2 linked regions of the Ovis aries genome follow. The protein of the gene in region 1 purifies or fractionates together with the protein of each later gene. This does not show direct contact. Links are inferred from orthologs where the notes say so. Each region holds a gene or a part of one and is shown in the gene's direction. Other genes may lie near its edges. The genes, in order: GEMIN5 and SNRNP70.

Evidence for each region.
Region 2: the proteins of GEMIN5 (region 1) and SNRNP70 purify together in Homo sapiens (affinity purification with mass spectrometry; 4 studies listed by BioGRID and IntAct, counting the BioPlex papers as one, with this or other methods). This does not show direct contact. The link is inferred for Ovis aries from reciprocal best matches to the Homo sapiens genes GEMIN5 and SNRNP70.

What each region holds. Positions count from the first base shown.
Region 1 is NC_056058.1:63,861,343-63,870,760, reverse strand, and holds part of GEMIN5 (gem-associated protein 5), read left to right. Parts: intron 1-495; coding exon 496-629; intron 630-1,891; coding exon 1,892-1,965; intron 1,966-2,668; coding exon 2,669-2,850; intron 2,851-4,628; coding exon 4,629-4,768; intron 4,769-5,822; coding exon 5,823-5,994; intron 5,995-8,132; coding exon 8,133-8,360; intron 8,361-8,853; coding exon 8,854-8,967; intron 8,968-9,344; coding exon 9,345-9,418. UniProt on the Homo sapiens protein: The SMN complex catalyzes the assembly of small nuclear ribonucleoproteins (snRNPs), the building blocks of the spliceosome, and thereby plays an important role in the splicing of cellular pre-mRNAs.
Region 2 is NC_056067.1:55,355,176-55,363,559, forward strand, and holds the end of SNRNP70 (U1 small nuclear ribonucleoprotein 70 kDa), read left to right. Parts: intron 1-689; coding exon 690-791; intron 792-3,274; coding exon 3,275-3,362; intron 3,363-3,441; coding exon 3,442-4,102; 3' UTR 4,103-4,260; downstream 4,261-8,384. UniProt on the Homo sapiens protein: Component of the spliceosomal U1 snRNP, which is essential for recognition of the pre-mRNA 5' splice-site and the subsequent assembly of the spliceosome. SNRNP70 binds to the loop I region of U1-snRNA.

The sequences.
Region 1 (9,418 bases):
GTCTTTTCTTCAGCATCTATAGTGGAACATCTGTACATCTGCCTAACTGCAGTGTAAGTCATCAGAACTCAAGCAGCATTATAGAGTTCATTCATTCATTTAGCAAATGCTGATCCTTGATTTGTGCCAAACAGTTCTACAGTAGTGAAAATAAAATGTGTCCTTACAAAAACCCATCAGAACCACTGTTTACTTCCTAAAATAAACAGGAAAGTTACTATAACACCAATTGCTTTGAGAATAGCTTCTTACATTTAATCATAGGAAGTCCTGCAGCTTCATATATTTAAATGCCAGACAGTACTTATTTCTGTAAGATAAGATAAATTCCCCAAAACTTTGAGAACATGTCTTCTGATCCCAGCTTTGGCACCCCTACTGTTTTGAGTGGCAGAAGATAAAACATGTCATAGTATAACATGGTCATATTAAGCAACAAACAGTTAAGCTGGTAAAGTACAAAACTGATAAGCTTTCTTTTCTTATTCCATGTAGGAGAAGGAGACAGACCTTCCCTCACTTTATACAGTTGTGGAGGAGAAGGGATTGTCTTACAGCACAACCCTTGGAAGCTTAGTGGAGAGGCCTTTGACATCAACAAACTCATCAGGGACACCAACTCAATCAAAGTAAGTTCTTGTGATTTGAAGTCTTCTCATGATCTCTCTGTTTTATCTTCTCATCTTGCATGATAAATGGCATTATGTGAGGTATCCATTATGCTGTCAGATTTCAGGCTTCTCTCAGTTGCAATGGTTATTTATTATAAACTTTCAGATCTTGAATATAAAGCACCCTTTTCACACCTGCCACTTTCTCCAGAGGGAGGTGTTTGTAAAACTTACTTTATACTATGTTATCCAAGTACAGCTATGAGGTATTTTGCTCAAAACAGAATTATCATTTTGGTTTTTTAGTGAAATAATTACAGATTTATACAAAAGCTGCAAAAATAATGCAAATAATTTCCTTATATCCTTCACCCAGATTTCCACGTTTAATCACATTTTCTTTACCATTATATCAATATATCTGTATGCCAGAACTGTCTTTTTAAGTGAAACCATAAATGTTGAGTTTTCCTTACTCTTTCAAATGAGCATTATTTACTTTTGCTCATTATTTTTGTATGGCTATTTTTGTTATAAAAATAATATTTAATCATAAATTGAATTGTTTTTAATGGCTATATTCCTTCATGTTTTAAATGTTATCTTAACATTCAACAGTGAATAAAAGAGGCAAAATTCCTGTTCCTAACAAGCTTTTAGTTTTGTAAGACTTAAATAATATAGATCAGAAGTTCACATAAGGAATTTGGGCTGGAAATGGAAATTTAGAGTCCCTTTATATGAGCGGTAACTAAAGAAGCTGTGGGCATGTATGAGGTGGTCTGTGGAGAGACAAGTAAGAAAAGAAGAGGGCCCAGGCAGCCTTGGGGAACAAAGGAACTGTTCTCTAATAAAAACAGAAGAAGAGAAAAATAAAATTCTGGAAAAGAAACAGAAGAGATGGGAAGAAAAGAGGGTGGCGTATGTGACTTCTCTTAAGATGACAGCCCCCGTGTTATCGAAGCCAGTGGACATGTTTCATGTCTTACTGTGGGATAAAAATCATTTTAATTAAGTTCATTTCACAAGGTTAGACACTGCAAATATTTAATACTCACTGGCCTGTCTTTTGTCCCAGTTAGGAAATCATATTTAGCATAGTTGTTCTTAGTAACTCTTTGGCAAATTACGTAGATTATTTATAAGAATGGCTGTTGTAATTAGAACATTCTTAAACCAAGGTTTGTTTGTTTTTTCCCCTCACACTGTCATCATTGATTTGTAAGCTGTGTGGCAAGAACAATGTTTTCAGTCGAGATTGGTTTGTTTTGCTTTTCTAGTACAAATTGCCTGTACACACAGAGATCAGCTGGAAAGCAGATGGCAAAATCATGGCTCTTGGCAATGAAGATGGGTATGTGTTTGTTTTTTTTAAAAAAAAAAAACTTTGTAATTGCACATATATTTGATCACAAGCTAGTGCCATCTGTAATGTTAGTTGGGAAAGCCTAGCTGTATTTGATATTCTGACTTATCCCTGATATCCTTAAATAACTCAGGAGCTGTCTGCATTATTGAGAACTGCAAAATAAGTTAAATATTTATAGCTCAAAGGGAATGTTTGCCTACTCTGTTTTGGTTGTAGTATGCTTCAAAGAATGCTTATCTCCAGAATTAAGTTCCCTAAATCTCCTTTCATTCTTTTTAAAGAAAAAAAAAGCAGAAATGCTTTTTAGCTCTTACTATATCCTTTCCAGTGTTTTGGTTTGGTTGTTTAGGGTGTTTTGTTTTGTTTTGCCCTTTCCGGTATTGATCATAGTAACATGGTACTGTTTCAGCCATTGGTTTATTAATTCTTCTTTTAGTTTTTCCCTGGTACCATTTATTATTTTTAGAGCATGATAAATACAACTTTCCAGAGGTTGTTGGGATTTATTAAAGCTGCTGAAAGAACTGCCTTTTGTACCTGATTTTTTGTAAGAGAGTAACCTCTGCAGTTAAGATTGGGTTATCCTATTCCATTTCACCTTTCTTTGACTGATGGAATGAGGATGATACCTGCTTGCACTGAACTGTAATTTGAGCATCCTTTCTTATCTTGGTGTTTCTTATTCCAGATCAATAGAAATATTCAAGGTTCCTAACCTGAAACTGATCTGCACCATCCAGCAACATCATAAGCTTGTGAATACCATTAGCTGGCATCATGAGCATGGCAGCCAGCCAGAACTGAGCTATCTGATGGCCTCTGGCTCCAACAACGCAGTCATTTATGTGCACAACCTGCAGACTGTCATAGGTAACTTTGGTTTCTTTCCATACTGGGGGTGGTATATGTGTTCAGCTACTTTTTGTTCCAATCTTCGTACATTTTCCTTTTTCTTTGGTATTAAACACTACTCTTACTATTTTTCTGCTTTCAAAAGTAATGTATTCACCTTATTTAAAACACAACAAAAATTTCAAACATGACAATACATGTTAACTTAGAAAGTGAAGTACCTCCCTTATTCCCATCCCTCATTAATAAACATTGCTGTTTCCTCCAAATTTTCTAAAGTATAGTTATTGCCAAGTCACTCTCCAAAAGATGGTGCCAATGTATATTCCCTTCCTTCAGTGTTTGAGTATTTGACACGTACAACACACATCCCATCCCATGCATGACTGCATCTAATTCTTACACTCCTGGGAGGTAGGTTTTGTTATCTTCATTTTCCTAATTGAGGCTCAGAGGGGTTAGCTCACTTCCATGCGTCCCACAGCTCATACATGATAGAGCCCAGATTCATTCCCACACTGTCTAACTGCAGCATCTGCATGTGTTCTGGTAACTACTAGTCCCTGCCTAGCAGGTTGATCTTTTTCATATTTTCATACAACTTATTCCTTACAAGGCTTAAACTTCTCTGAACTTCCTCAGCACCTAGAAGAAGTTAAGTGGTCAGAAGAGCCTTTTTTAATGTGAAAGAAGATAATTACTTTTTTTCTTAATATGAAGAAAAAAAAAACACATAACCCATCTTCATTGCCAAGAGCTATAATTTTTGTTTTTTAATATGCTTTTGTTTGTTTTGCCTGAAGAGACAAATCCAAAGTAATACTGGTATCATTTATGTCAGAGAGTTCCTTTCTAAGAGTTCTAAGGTTTCCAGTTTTACATTTAAGTCTTTAATCCATTGTGAGTTTATTTCTTTATAAGGTGTGAAAAAATGTTTTAATCTCGTTCTTTCACAGGTAGCTGTCCAGTTTTTCCAGCATCACTTACAGGAGAGCATTAACTTAATTCTTAAAAGCAGTGCAGATCTTTGTCTACTGAAATACTATCATCCTGGTTTGTTTTTTATTTCAAATCTACTGAATAACACAAAAAGGGAAACAATGACCAGGAAAAACTTCATTTTTATCTTCTTATATTTAAATAATTCACACTTAGAGGAAAGTTGCAAAAACAGTATGAAGGACTACCATATACCTTTTCACAGATTCAACAACTTATAACCTTTTGTCATATTTGCTTTGTGCTGTGGTGTATGTATTTTCCAAAGTGTTTGTGTATTTTGTAAGAATAATGATATTCCTTTATATAACCACAATTCCATTATAATAGTTTAATCTACCATGCTTATTCTAGTGTTGTCAGTTGATTCAATATTGTCCTTTATATCTCTCAGCCTTTTTTGTTTTTTCATCTTGATTTTTTTTTTTTTTAATACCAGCTGGTTATGTGGTAGATGCGTCCTCAGTTTGGTCTCATATATTCTTATGACTAGATTCAGGTCACACATTTTTAACTATACATGATAATACATCCTTCTTGGTATCACATCCTAAAGGCATTACTTCCATTTTGCTGGCTTTTAGAAAGAAAGAATGAGAGCTATCACTTCCTACAGTAAGCCCATGGATATGCCACAGTGGATATGCCTACACTCTTAACCACTAGACAGTGCTGCCCAGTGAAAATCACGTAGAAAGCATGTGGCAACATCTTGACTTGCCATGCTAATTAAAACCCTCCTTTATGTCTTTCTGTTGTTGTTATTGGTACCAATGCCATCATCCCCTGTCTTTTAGAGAGCAATCCTGAATCTCCAGTGACCATTACAGAGCCCTACCGGACCCTGTCAGGGCACACAGCCAAGATCACCAGTCTGGCATGGAGCCCACACCATGATGGAAGGCTGGTATCCGCCTCCTACGACGGTACAGCTCAGGTACTATTGCATCCCTGATTCTGTGGGTTCTTCACTATATACTCTAACTGAAACTCTTTCTTCTTCTCCCCTGTGATTTTTCTGAGCTCTCAGTTCAGTTCGGTTCAGTTGCTTGGTGGTGTCCAAGTCTTTGCGACCCCATGAACTGCAGCACACCAGGCCTCCCTGTCCATCACCAACTCCCGGAGTCCACCCAAACCCATGTCCTAGAGGGCATTTTATTAAACATATCTGGGCCCTTGTCAGGGTAAATTTGGGTTTTTTTGTAACTTAGGTGAAAGAGAATATTGATAGGAACTAGCTAAACTGATGTTTTTAAAGATTTCACTTTGACCTCCTGTCAGTATGATAGACTAAAGTTGATGTGAAAAGTACTCCTCCCATTCTGTTCTGTCACAGAAGGGTGACTATAAATCATGAAAAAAAATACTTCTAATAATAACTCGGTAGCTTACATCTTCAAGTTCTCAAAAATAAAGATGAGATGCCAAGCCAGAGCTGTGAAGTGAGTTTCGGATATCAGAACCAGAACAGACCTCAGGAACTGGGGATCCATCATCAGTGATGGATGTCTGTCTCAGTACTGAGTGGTAAATGAGCTGTCTGCACAGAGCTGAGAGCCGTGACTGGCTGCCCTTTGAGATGGAGACTGGAATCATTCAGGAAATAGCAAGGAAATTGATCATTTGCCCTGAGGTAGAAGAATCATCTGTGAGAAACTAGAACCCTTGCATCACACATGTAGATGTGGGCTCTGAATTAGAGGTATCGGAATCCCCAGCCCAAAGATAACATGCAGTACTGGTTCAAGACAGTGAAATCCACAGGGCATCATTAAAAGCTTACTCCAAATCATTCCTATGGGAACTCTATATCCCAGAATACAGAAACCTCCGTTAGGAAATAGCACTTTCTGAAACTGCAAGTACAAATTACAAGAGGAAATAAGAGTACACAGATTTTTTTTTTTTTTTTCAAAAATGTATACCAACACCTCCTCAGACAATAGAATAACCAAAAATTATCTATTCTCATGTGCGACTTTTGGTTTTAGGTGTGGGATACTCTCCAGGAAGAGCCTCTATGCAATTTCCGAGGACATCGAGGTCGATTGCTTTGCGTTGCATGGTCCCCATTGGATCCAGATTGCATCTACTCAGGGGCAGATGATTTCTGTGTGTACAAATGGCTCACTTCCATGCAGGAACACTCCCGACCTCCGCAAGGTCAGTCAGAACCTGGAGCCTATAAGGGCTTGCCTCATTCCCTTTTTCCTTTCCTCAGTAAGCTGTCAGTCATGCAAGGAGGACATTCATGGTGGGCAATAGAGCAGTATGGTGGGAATGGAAGCCTGGGCAAGGACAGTAGCCCGAAGAGGTCTGAAGACAACACCTGAATAGTAGCAAGTATTCCTAGCACCCAGATCTTGTTTTCTAAATCTCAATCTCTAAAAAGGAACCTACCAGGGCTTCTTGGAGAAATGGCTAGTTCCAGGTTAGGCGGAAAAAATCTAAGATAAGTCTGCAGCATCATTTGCCACAAAGGTATAACTGAGGTCATCAAAAGGACAAAGAAGCCAGCTTGAAGGGGCTGGCTACCCAAATGTGAGATAATCTGAACTTGAAAATAATTAACAGAATTTCACTTCTGGCTATAAGAGACTAACTGGAACCAGATTTTCCCACCCACCAGAAATAGCTAGAAAACTAAACAGGGTATATAAACAACTAGAAATGTACTCAAGAAATGAAACGATGCATCCACATAAAGACTTATAAAAGAATCCTTATACCTAATCTGTAACTGCCACAATCAGAAACAACACAAATGTCAGCTGGTAAATAAACTGTGGTATATATCCTACAGTGGAACTATTCAGCAATAAAAAGCAAGTAGCTACTTATAAATACAACAAAATGGGTGAATCTCAAAGATTATGCCTAGCAAAGTAAGCCTGGCACAAAAGACTAAACACTGTATAGTACTAATATAGAGTATGAAATGTAGTTGTAAATCATACGAATTTCTAAAACAGACAAAACTAAACTACAGTGATAGCAAATCAGTGACTGCCTGGGGCTCAGGGAGGAGGGGAATCTACACAAAGAGGCATGAGGGAACATTTTGAAATAATGGCAACAGTTTATTTGTGGTGGTGGGTTACCTATACAGCTGTCTAAACTCATAAAAACATTAAAAAATCTGGTATTTTTTCTTGTGTTAAATTATATCTCAGTAAGATGACTTGAAATCAAAAGATAAAAGCTTTCAAACTGAAAAAGTAAATAAGTAATAGTAAAGGATTAAAACATTAAATAGGAATTCTTGAGTCCATACTGACCACTATAAAGTAACAGTCTAAATAAATAGACAGAAGCAAAAGTTCTTTTCAGCAGAAGGCCACCTAGTAAGTGTAGACTGAACAATGGAACCGAAAATTGCCCTTTGGCCATAATCATAGTAACAATTTTTAGTAAAACTAGTGGGGACAAACCTGCAAGGTACCGCCCTCCTTATTCAAGTAACAAGTAAGTAAGTATTAGTCGCTCAGTCATGCCTGACTCTTTGCAACCCCATGCACTGCAGCCCACCAGGCTCCTATGTCCATGAACTTTTCCAGACAAGGATACTGGAGCGGATTGTCATTTCCTTCTCCAGGGGATCTTCCCGACCCAGGGATCAAACCTAAGTCTCCTGCACTGCAGGCAGATTCTTTACCAACTGAGCTACAAGGGAAGCACACCAAGTAATCAAAGTGAACCACAAATAATGAGACAAATAGAAATTATGTGCTACCTCCCAGGCTGCACCAGGATAAACACAGCCTCACTGGTTTGTATTGCAGCTCAAAGTATATAACCTAAATCTAATCATGCAAAAGATAAGGCAGACCCAATGTGAGGGAAATCAGACAAAATATCCTGTGATCTTCATGAGTTTCTAGTCATGAAAGTCAAAATAAAACCTGAGCCTGTTCTAGGCTGAAGGAAACTAGAGATGTAACAAGCCAGTGCAACCTGTAGTCCTGGAGTGATTTCCTTTTGCTATAAAGGACACTTCTGGTGTAACTGGTAGAACTTGAATGAAATGGGAATGAATAATCTATCAGTGTTAATTTCCTGATATTAATGGTTGTGCTGTGATGATGTAGGAGAATATCCTTCTTTGTAGGATATACACTAAAGTATTCAGGGGTAAATGGGCATTGTGTTTATGATTTAATGAAATCTGAAAAGGGTTTGGTTTGGTTAACATTTTGATAATATAACTAAGACTTCATTGGGAAGGTGGGGAAAAGGTAAGAATGTTATCAAAAAGAAGAGCAATAAGGTATCTATCCTTTTCTGAACTGTGATTTCTATAGGCAAGAAAAGTATTGAATTAGAGAAAAAGCGGCTCTCTCAACCTAAGCCAAAGCCCAAAAAGAAGAAAAAGCCCACCTTGAGAGTGCCTGTAAAGCAAGAATTATGTGACGGGAATGAAGAAGAGAGTGTAAAGGAGAGCCTGGGCCCTGTTGAGAATGGCGTGTCAGACCAGGAGACAGAGGAGGAAGCCCGCGAGCCAGAGCCACCCTGTGGTGTCACCTCGGCAGGCATGTAGCCGAATCTCGTGTTTCACTCTCTAGCACTTAACAGTCCTGACCAGGAACTAAGTCAGGTCTACCTTTGAAGTGTTAAGGGAATCTAATGGATGATTGGGATGGAAATAGTAAAGTTCTCTAGAGAAAACTTACCAACCTGGGCAGGGTAAGACTGTGGGACAAAGTGAAGCTGGGGCAGCGTATACATAGAACCTTACAAGTAAGGGCACGTTTTTAAAGTTGTGGTGGCTAGAATCTTTATAATTTTCCTTAGATCAGTTAGTCAGAGTTCTAGGTGATAAATCTACAGATTCCTGGAAGGCAGTTTGAGAGGTGGGGAAAGGGAGACTGACTACCCATGCTTCCTGTCTGAAATATTTCATCTTAATATTTGGAGTAATAGATAAAATCACACTGTAAAGACTGGGATAGCTCTTAATTTTTAAAAAGAACTAGATTCTACATTGTTCTCATCCAAACTTTTTTCTTTCTCCCCATGATGTAGTTTCTAAAGAACCAATTATCTGCACTCCAGCAGCCTTAGGTTTTGAAAAGTCAAAAAGCACCATTAATAACAAAGTCACTTTACTGAAAAAGGACGTACCTAAAGAGAAGCCAGGTTGGTATCTAATAACTAAAATAATTTGTTAAAGCATCCTCATTACATGCAAATGAAAACTCAACAGAGTATGGTTTTTTGGTTTTATTTTAGGTTTTAAATATTTGTGTTTTGATTTGGGGTCATTTTTTTAGTACTTGGAAGAACTGTCATTTTGTAGTTGTTGATGTTGGTTCAGAGCCTTCACAGGGACTCTCTGTGTGTTGAAAACACTACCCCCAGCTGCTAATAATTTAATTTGACAGCTTCCTTCTAAGAGTGGGAACGTTCTCTGCTCAGCAGTATTCCTCCAGTAGCTTGCATACACAGCGGACATGCATTCAGTTTGGGGTTTGTAATCAATTCTTCAGATGGTCTGTACTTGTATTACATTTCAGAAGCCTTAATCAAGAAGCGAAAAGCTCGTTCCATGCTTCCACTGAGTACAAGTCTGGACCACAGATCCAAAGAG
Region 2 (8,384 bases), on another chromosome or scaffold:
CACGACTCCCATGCCTCCCTCCACTTCCCTCTGCCCCACCTGCTGTAGGGGGCCCCCATAACCCACCCTCTACTCCCTGCCATCTCCTAAAGATTTCTCCTGCCCCCTTCTGGTTCATTTTCTGTTCTGATGTCTGTTTCCCCCATGCTCACCCTCCCCCAACAAAAACCACAGTAAAAGGAAACCGGTGTGAACTGGGGTGCGGAGCGGCCAGCCGGGCCTCTGCTCCCAGCATGACGTTTTAGGGTGCATGCCTGGGGTTGTGGAGGAGCCCTCCCCCACTGCAGAGTCCAGCCTTAAGTTAACCTCCAGTTTCTTTGCAGCGACTTTGGCCGCCTTGGTGGGAGGGGGCTGCTCTGTCAAAGGGGAGTAGGCCTGGCCTGGGAGCCCAGGGCAGTGGTTAGGGTGAGCATAGTGGTTGGGAGTGGGCCGGCCCCCCAAGAGTGTTTGGGGGTGATGAGGCAGGTGGTGAGATGGAGCAGGCCCCTCCCGGGTTGGGAGAAGGTTGTCTGGCTGTCAGTTGCCTGGCTGTCTGGTGGGCCTGTGTGTGTGCGTGCGTGTGTGCGCCGAAGTGTGCTGACGGGGACATGGCGGGTGTGGCGGGTCGGGATGCCACAGAGTGGGGCCGTCACCTGACTAGAGGATCCTCTGGGGACTCCTCCCCCTCCCCTTCCCCACATCTGTTGCAGCCGCTTACAAGCATGCAGACGGCAAGAAGATTGACGGCAGGAGAGTGCTCGTGGACGTGGAGAGGGGCCGCACCGTGAAGGGCTGGAGGCCCCGGCGGCTAGGTGAGCGTGCCCTGCTCTGGCTGGGCTCGGGGTCCTGCTGGCTCCCTCTCCCTTCTCTTCCCCCCCCCTGCTGCTTTCTGTCTTCTCTTCCCCATGCAGCTGCTCACATTCCTCCCTCTCTCCAGCTCAGCCTCTCGGTCTCCAGCATTCTCTTGGTCTGTTTTTGTTTTTTATTCTGGGTTACCAATTAGGAGCAAGAGTACTGACCTGGAGAAGCCAGTCTGGGATCAAATTCTGACTTGCGCATACCTGGCAGGTGGATTTCTCCCCTTTTCTGACTCATTTTCCTCATCCTAGAAAGTGGGAATAATCTCAAGAGCTCACTGAGTTCAGTGTCTCAGATACACAGCCTGGCAAATGGTGTACAGTGGGGCTTGAAAAGTCGTTCTGGCATCCGCTTAGACTTTGCTCCTGCTCATCCGGCCTGTTCGTTCATTGATTACTGAGTAAACACTGGTGTGATCACCAGCTGCGTAGCAGGCTTCTAGTCAAGGGTGAGACATACATGGTTGGCCGCTGCCCTCAAAGCTTCAGTCCCTCTCACTGTCATCTCTTATTGTCAGTTACCGTCTCAGTCAAGGTCAGGTTGGTAGCAAGTACCAGAAAACAGTATAAAGGGGTCTGTTGGTATAGAATCCCGGTGTCTTGGGGCCTTGTTGGTGTAGAAACCCCAGTGGCTTGGAGCCCAAAGATGGGGGAGGTCTGTGGGCCTTGAGGCCCTGGCGGCTGAGCCTGCAGCATCCAGAGCTGCCTCTGGCAGCTCTGTGCCTTCTGCCTTGTTTGCTTGCTGTCTGTGAGTTGGTCCCTTCTGGCTCTCTCCCCACGGAGCCAGTGTGGTATTCCACAACGCAGTCTTGGATGAGTCTGCGCTTCTGGGTGGGTGGATCTAAGTGGCTCAGCGTTGGGCCTGGACCTGGGGCTGAGGTTGTGCCATCCAGACTTGGCTGTCGAGGACCAACTCCAGTGAGGGGGAGTGACCCAATTGTCAGAGAAAATAGTCTTCGCTATGCAGACACCCTAGGCAGGTCCAGTACCCTCTGACCTTATTTCTGCCCCCAGCCTGCTGTTCTTATGCTTGACTTGCCTTTACTGAGTAAATCACACATGTATCTGCCGAGTGTCAACTCAATAGATAAGTTCTCCTCTCCCTCTCTGGTTTCTTTGGGTTGGAGTGAGTCCTTCAGAGTCTGCTCTTGCCCATTGTAGAATCCTGGAATCTCAGAATCTTCTAGTTTGATTGGCATTCCAACTTTCTGATGGTGATAGCCAGTGCATTTTGACCCAGTGTACATGCAAAAAAAATACATTTAACCCAAACAAAAGTTTGATGAAACAGTAGTTTATCTTTTCTACGGGCAGTATATATACTAGTGTTTTATGTTCTGTTTCTTTCTTTTAAAGAAATGGTTGGTTGCATCCTGTCAGATTTAGTGATGTGACTCCACTGCTGGGTTGTGATCTGAACATGGAAAGCACTGGTCTGTTTCTCCGCATCCTTGCTGGGTGGCTTGTCCTCTGTTCGGATGTTTCATGTCCATGTCCAAGCTTTTGACCCTCATTGCTGAAAGCTATTCCTTAAATAGCTTCAGGAAACTCCCTTCCAGGCAGTGGGGGCAGAAGACTGAGTGAGAGGGCAGCTTCTGGAGTTAGCGGGGAATCACGTCTCTGCTCTGCCCTTTCTTGCCGAGTCACCCTGGGCAGGTGGCTTTTCAGCCTGCGTTTGTTTCCCACGTGAAGGAGGAGGGTAACTGCTGCTGCTTCCAGTTGTCCTTGTCGCCATTTGCTCGTCCAGCTTTTTATCGTGGCTGCTGGTCCAGCGTCCTGATGGAAGGCGCAGTACAGGCTAGAGAGGGAGGCAGCTGTTAATCAGCTCTCTCTTGAACGTGCGTGTACACACACATAGACGAAATTGGAAACTCCACCTGAGACACACACGTGAAATCGGAAACTCCACTGAAGTTCTGAAGCCAGTGTGTGGTCTGTGAGTGGAGAAGGGCCTCAGCTGGTAGGTCAGGGCAGGCGGAGTGAGGAAGTGAGGTGTGGGTTAAGGTGCGGAGGGTAAGTGGGAGTTAAGTAGAAAGGAAGGTGAGACTCCAGGGGAACGGGTGAATGATCCCCAACACTGGGCAGGAAGGACATGGAGACCATGAAGAGGTTGGAAAATGCCTGGAACCTTTAGAGCCAGGGGCCCTTGGGCTGAAAGACAGGGAGGAGGCCGGCCTCTGACCTTGGCTTGGGCGGTGGGCAGCCACTGCCGGCTTTGAGGCGGGTCAGGCTTCAGTTAGAAGGATCGGGGCTGTGTCTCGGGCGGGAATGACCGGAGGAGAGGGTCTGTCAGGGGCTGGGGCCTCCCCGGTGGGGGAGGTGAGCCCGGAGCCCTATGAGGGCGCGTCCAGCTGGCGCTGTGACCTTCTGATCTCTGCACTGCCCGCCGTCTCGGGGTCCCCACCCGCTCTGACCCGCCTGTGTCTGCCCCTCCCCAGGAGGCGGCCTGGGCGGCACCCGGAGAGGCGGGGCGGACGTCAACATCCGGCACTCAGGCCGGGACGACACCTCCCGCTACGATGAGAGGTGAGGCCGGGCCGGGTGTCCTGGGAGCGGGGCGGTGAGTGGGGGAGCCCTGCCGCAAACCTCTGCCCACCTCATCCAGGCCCGGCCCCTCCCCGCTGCCCCACAGGGACCGGGACCGGGACCGCGAGCGGGAGCGCCGGGAGCGAAGCCGCGAGAGAGACAAGGAGCGGGAACGACGACGCTCCCGCTCTCGGGACCGGCGGCGGCGCTCTCGGAGTCGCGACAAGGAGGAGCGGCGGCGCTCCAGGGAGCGGAGCAAGGACAAGGACCGGGACCGCAAGCGGCGCAGCAGCCGGAGCCGGGAGCGGGCGCGGCGGGAGCGGGAGCGCAAGGAGGAGCTGCGCGGAGGCGGAGGCGGAGGCGGCGGCGGCGACATGGCCGAGCCCTCCGAGGCCGGCGACGCGCCCCCGGATGATGGGCCCCCCGGGGAGCTGGGTCCGGACGGCCCGGATGGCCCAGAGGAGAAGGGCCGGGATCGTGACCGGGACCGACGTCGAAGCCACCGCAGCGAGCGGGAGCGGCGCCGGGACCGCGATCGCGACCGGGACCGGGAGCACAAGCGGGGGGAGCGGGGCGGCGATCGGGGCAGGGATGAGGCCCGAGGTGGGGGTGGCGGCGGCCAGGACAACGGGCTCGAGGGTCTGGGCAACGACGGCCGAGACATGTACATGGAGTCCGAGGGAGGCGACGGGTATCTCGCTCCGGAGAACGGGTATTTGATGGAGGCTGCGCCGGAGTGAAGAGGCCGCTCGCCGGCCGCTTGGACGTGTTCCTACTCCCCCTGCTGTCATCCTCTCCCCCACCTTCCTGGTCACCACCTGAATCTGCCAGCCAAGGGTAGGAGTCTCCTTATTTGTTTTGGTCTCTTGGATTTAAAAATAAAATTTCTTGTTGATAATGGGCGCTTGGTTTCTTCACTGCTCTTACTGTCTTCCCCAGGAGGGTGTCACCTTCTGACTTAGATGGCCCCACTCTGGTGTTCCAGGACAGGAGCTGTATGAACTAAAGGCTAGGGCTAGTCCCGGATAGCCAAGCTGTTGAGAGTAAGGAAGACCTCCTTAAGGGTCCTTGATGCCTTGCTTTTTTTCGGTGCTCCCACACATTTCTTGTGGAGCTGTTCATACTCCTATCTTAGTGTGGGGATGGGGCTCTGGGCCGTGTTTTCACGAAGCGTGAGAGCGAGATAAACAGGTAAAGAGAAGAGACAGGCTTGCCTATAAGTGGTATTGGGACAACTGGACAGCAGCTACATGTAAAAGAAAAAAACATTTTCTTAATGGCCATATACAAAAATAAGATGGATTAGGGCTTCCCTGGTGGTCCCGTGGTTAAGAATCTGCCTGCCAATGCAGGGGACATGGGTTTGACCCCTGGTGTGGGAATATCCCACATGCCAAGGAGCTGCTAAGCCCAGGTGCCACAATAAGAAACCACTGCAATGAGAAGGCTGCATGCTGCAACTAGAGAGGAACCCCGCTTGCCACGGCTAAAGAAAGCCCGCGTGCAGCAAGAAAGACCCAGTGCAGCAGAAATAAAGATTTAAAAAAATGGATTGCTGACTTAAATGTAAGACCAGGTATTATAAATAAAACTAGAGGAAAACATAGAACACACTCTGACATAAACCACAGCAATACTTTTTTGGAACCAACTCCTAGAGTAATGGAAATAGAAGCAAAAATAAATGAGACCTAGTTAAAAGCATTTGAACAGCAAAGGAATCAATAAAATGAAAAGACAGCCTACAGAATGGGAGAAAATATTTTCAAATACAAACAGCTCATATTGCTTAATATATAAAATACAAACAACCCAGCCAAAAATGGGCAGAAGATCGAAACAGGCGTTTCTCCAAAGATGATGTACAGACGGCCAACAGGCATGTGAAAAGATGTTCAGTATTGCTAATTATTAGGGAAATGCAAATTAAAACCACATGATCACCTCACAGCAGACAGAATGGCCATCACCCAAAGTCTACAAATAAGTGCTGGAGAGGGTGTGGATAAAGGGAACCCTCCCGCACCACTGGTGGGAATGTAAATTGGTATAACCACTATGGAGAACAGTATGGCAGTTCCTTTAAAAACACTTTTAAAAATAACTCACCATCCCACTCCTGGGCATATATGTCCAGAAAAAATAACCTGAAAAGACATGCATCCCAATGTACGTAGGACTGTTTACGATAGCAAGGGGCATTCCCTGGCAGTCCAGTGGTTAGGACGCCATACTTCCACTGCAGGAGGCGCAGGTCCAAAGAGACCTGCATGCCACGTGAGTGAAGGGAGAGTTGTGTCCAACTCTTTGTGACCCCAGGGTCGATACAGTCCGTGGAACTTTCCTGGCCAGAATATTGGAGTGGGTCGCCATTCTCTTCTCCAGGGGATCTTCCCAATCCAGGGATCAAACTTGGGTCTCCTGCATTGCAGGTGGATTCTTTACCAGCTGAGCTACCAGGGAATCCCAAATGCCACATGGAGTAGCCAAAAAACAAAAAAGATAGCATAATAGCCAAGATATGGAAGCGACTTAAATGTCCATCGACAGAGGAATGGATGAGGAAGATGTGGCCTCTATATACCATGGAATATTACTCAACCATGAAAATAATGAAATGCCATTTGTAGCAACATGGATGGACCTAGAGATTATCACACTAAGTGAAGTCGAAAGGAGAAAGACAAATATGACACTGTTTATATGTGAAATCTTTAAAAAAAATGATACAAATGACGCATGCTTTGTGCGTGCTAAGTCGCTTCAGGTCCGGGCGCCTCTGTCCATAGGGATTCTCTGGGCAAGAATACTGGAGTGCGTTGCCATGGCCTCCTCCGGGGCATCTTCTCAACCCAGGAGTCGAACCTGTCTCTTATGCCTCCTGGATTGGCAGGCACGTTCTTTACCACCAGCCCCACCTGGGAAGCCCTGATACAAATGAACTTATTTGCAGAACAGAAACAGACTCACAGACACAGAAAACAAATTTACAGTTACCCAAAGGGAAAGGGAGGAGAGGGATAAATTAGGAGTTGGGGATTAATAGATTAATAGATACACACAACTATATATAAAACAACAAGGACCTACTTATATAACACAGGGAACTATACTCAGTAGATCTTGTAATAACCTATAATGGAAAAGAATCTGAAAAAGAATACATGTATAACTGAATCACTGCTGTACATCTGAAACACTGTAGATCTGTACTTCAATTTAAAAAAAAATTTTAAGATGTAAAAAGATTGGGTAGAGGGACTTCCCTGGTGGTCCTGCAGCTAAGACTCTTAGCTCCCAATGCACGGGGCCTGGATTTGATGGATCCCTGTTCAGGGAACTAGGTCCCACATACAGCAACTAAGACTTCACATGCCGCAAGGAAGATGGAAGATCCCGTGTGTCACAACTAAGACCCAGCATAGCATAAATAAATTAAAAAAATAAAAATCAGGTAGAGCAGAGGGTCCTCACAGGGCCAGGACAGAAAATGGCCTCCAGTTCATGATGGCAGGTTCACTGTTTTTACTTCCTAATGATAGCAGAGGAGTAACAAAGCAAGGTTCCGTCAGCGGTCGAGATGTCAGCGCATTTCTGGATTAAAGACGAAATAGGACAGTGGCGAGAACACGTCAGTCTGGTGGCCACTTGAGAAGGGAGCCATCCACAGACCTTGGCAGAGAACTTAGAGGCTCAGGACTGCAACTTCAGGTGTAATAAGGCTGCTGCTGCTGCTGCTAAGTCGCTTCAGTCGTGTCCGACTCTGTGCGACCCCGTAGACGGCAGCCCACCAGGCTCCCCTGTCCCCGGGATAGGAGACTTGAACAGGATTTGTACCCAGAACAACTGCACTGTTTCCACAATCAGAATGCCTCGGAGCTGGGCATTTTCAAATACGAGTTTCTCAGCCTGAAGGCAGAGTTGGCCTGATAATTAGAGGCAAACTGTCAGTGAAATCCAACTGCACACCCCAGATTCTAGTGTTGTTTTAACTGCCTCAGTTTTTACAGGCATATAACCAAAGATCCCAGACACTTGAAAAAAATCTGCCAAAAGAGACCACAAGATAAATAGATAAACTGGTTCTGGAGAAAACAATTTAGGGAATAATTTAAAAAAAAAAACTTAATTCCTCTAATTACTGTATTTTCATAGATACTCCAGATATTGAAAGCATACTTCTGGAGTTGGCTATGAAAAACAGCCCATTTTGGACTTTCCTGGCATAGTGTGCGTGCTAAGTCATTTCAGTTACATCCGACTCTGTGACTCTGTGGACCATAGCTCGCCAACAGACCAGGTACATAAAGACTGGACAAGGGCTTCCCTGGTGGCTTGGTGGTAAAGAATCCGCCTGCCAATGCAGCAGACACAGATTTGATCCCTGGTCCAGGACGATCCCACGTAGCTCAGAGAAACTAAGCCCATGCGCCACAAGTACTGAGGAGCCCGGGAACTGCAACTGCTGAGCCTGTGCTCCCTGACGTGTGTGCTCTGCAACAAGAGAAGCCACTGCAATGAGAAGTCCGCTTGCCGCAACTGGAGAAGGCCCGCACGCGGCAACAAAGACCCAGCACAGCCGTAAATAAATAAATCAATCTTAAAAAAAAAAAAAAAAAGACTGGACAAAACATAAAAGTAACTTGTGAAAGGCTTTGGGGAGCAAACAATTGTAGGCCATGCTTGAGGGGCGCTGATACCAAGAGAGGAAGCATACAGAGGTGAGCTTCATATTTATCCCTGGCGGCTCAAACAGTAAAGAACCTGGGAAGATCCCCTGAAGGAGGGCATGCAACCCACTCAGTATCCTTGCCTGGAGAATCCCCATGGACAGAGGAGCCTGGTGGGCTACAGTCTACAGGGTCACAAAGAGTCGGACACGACTGAGCGACTAACACGTTCTTTCAGTTTTCCCTTGAGGATATTTGCCAATTATTGCGGCAGGACAGATGCAAAAAAGTGGTGGAAAAGACTCAGAAAGTGGCAGTCCTCGACTGGGCTGAGCTGACAGTTTGGACCAGA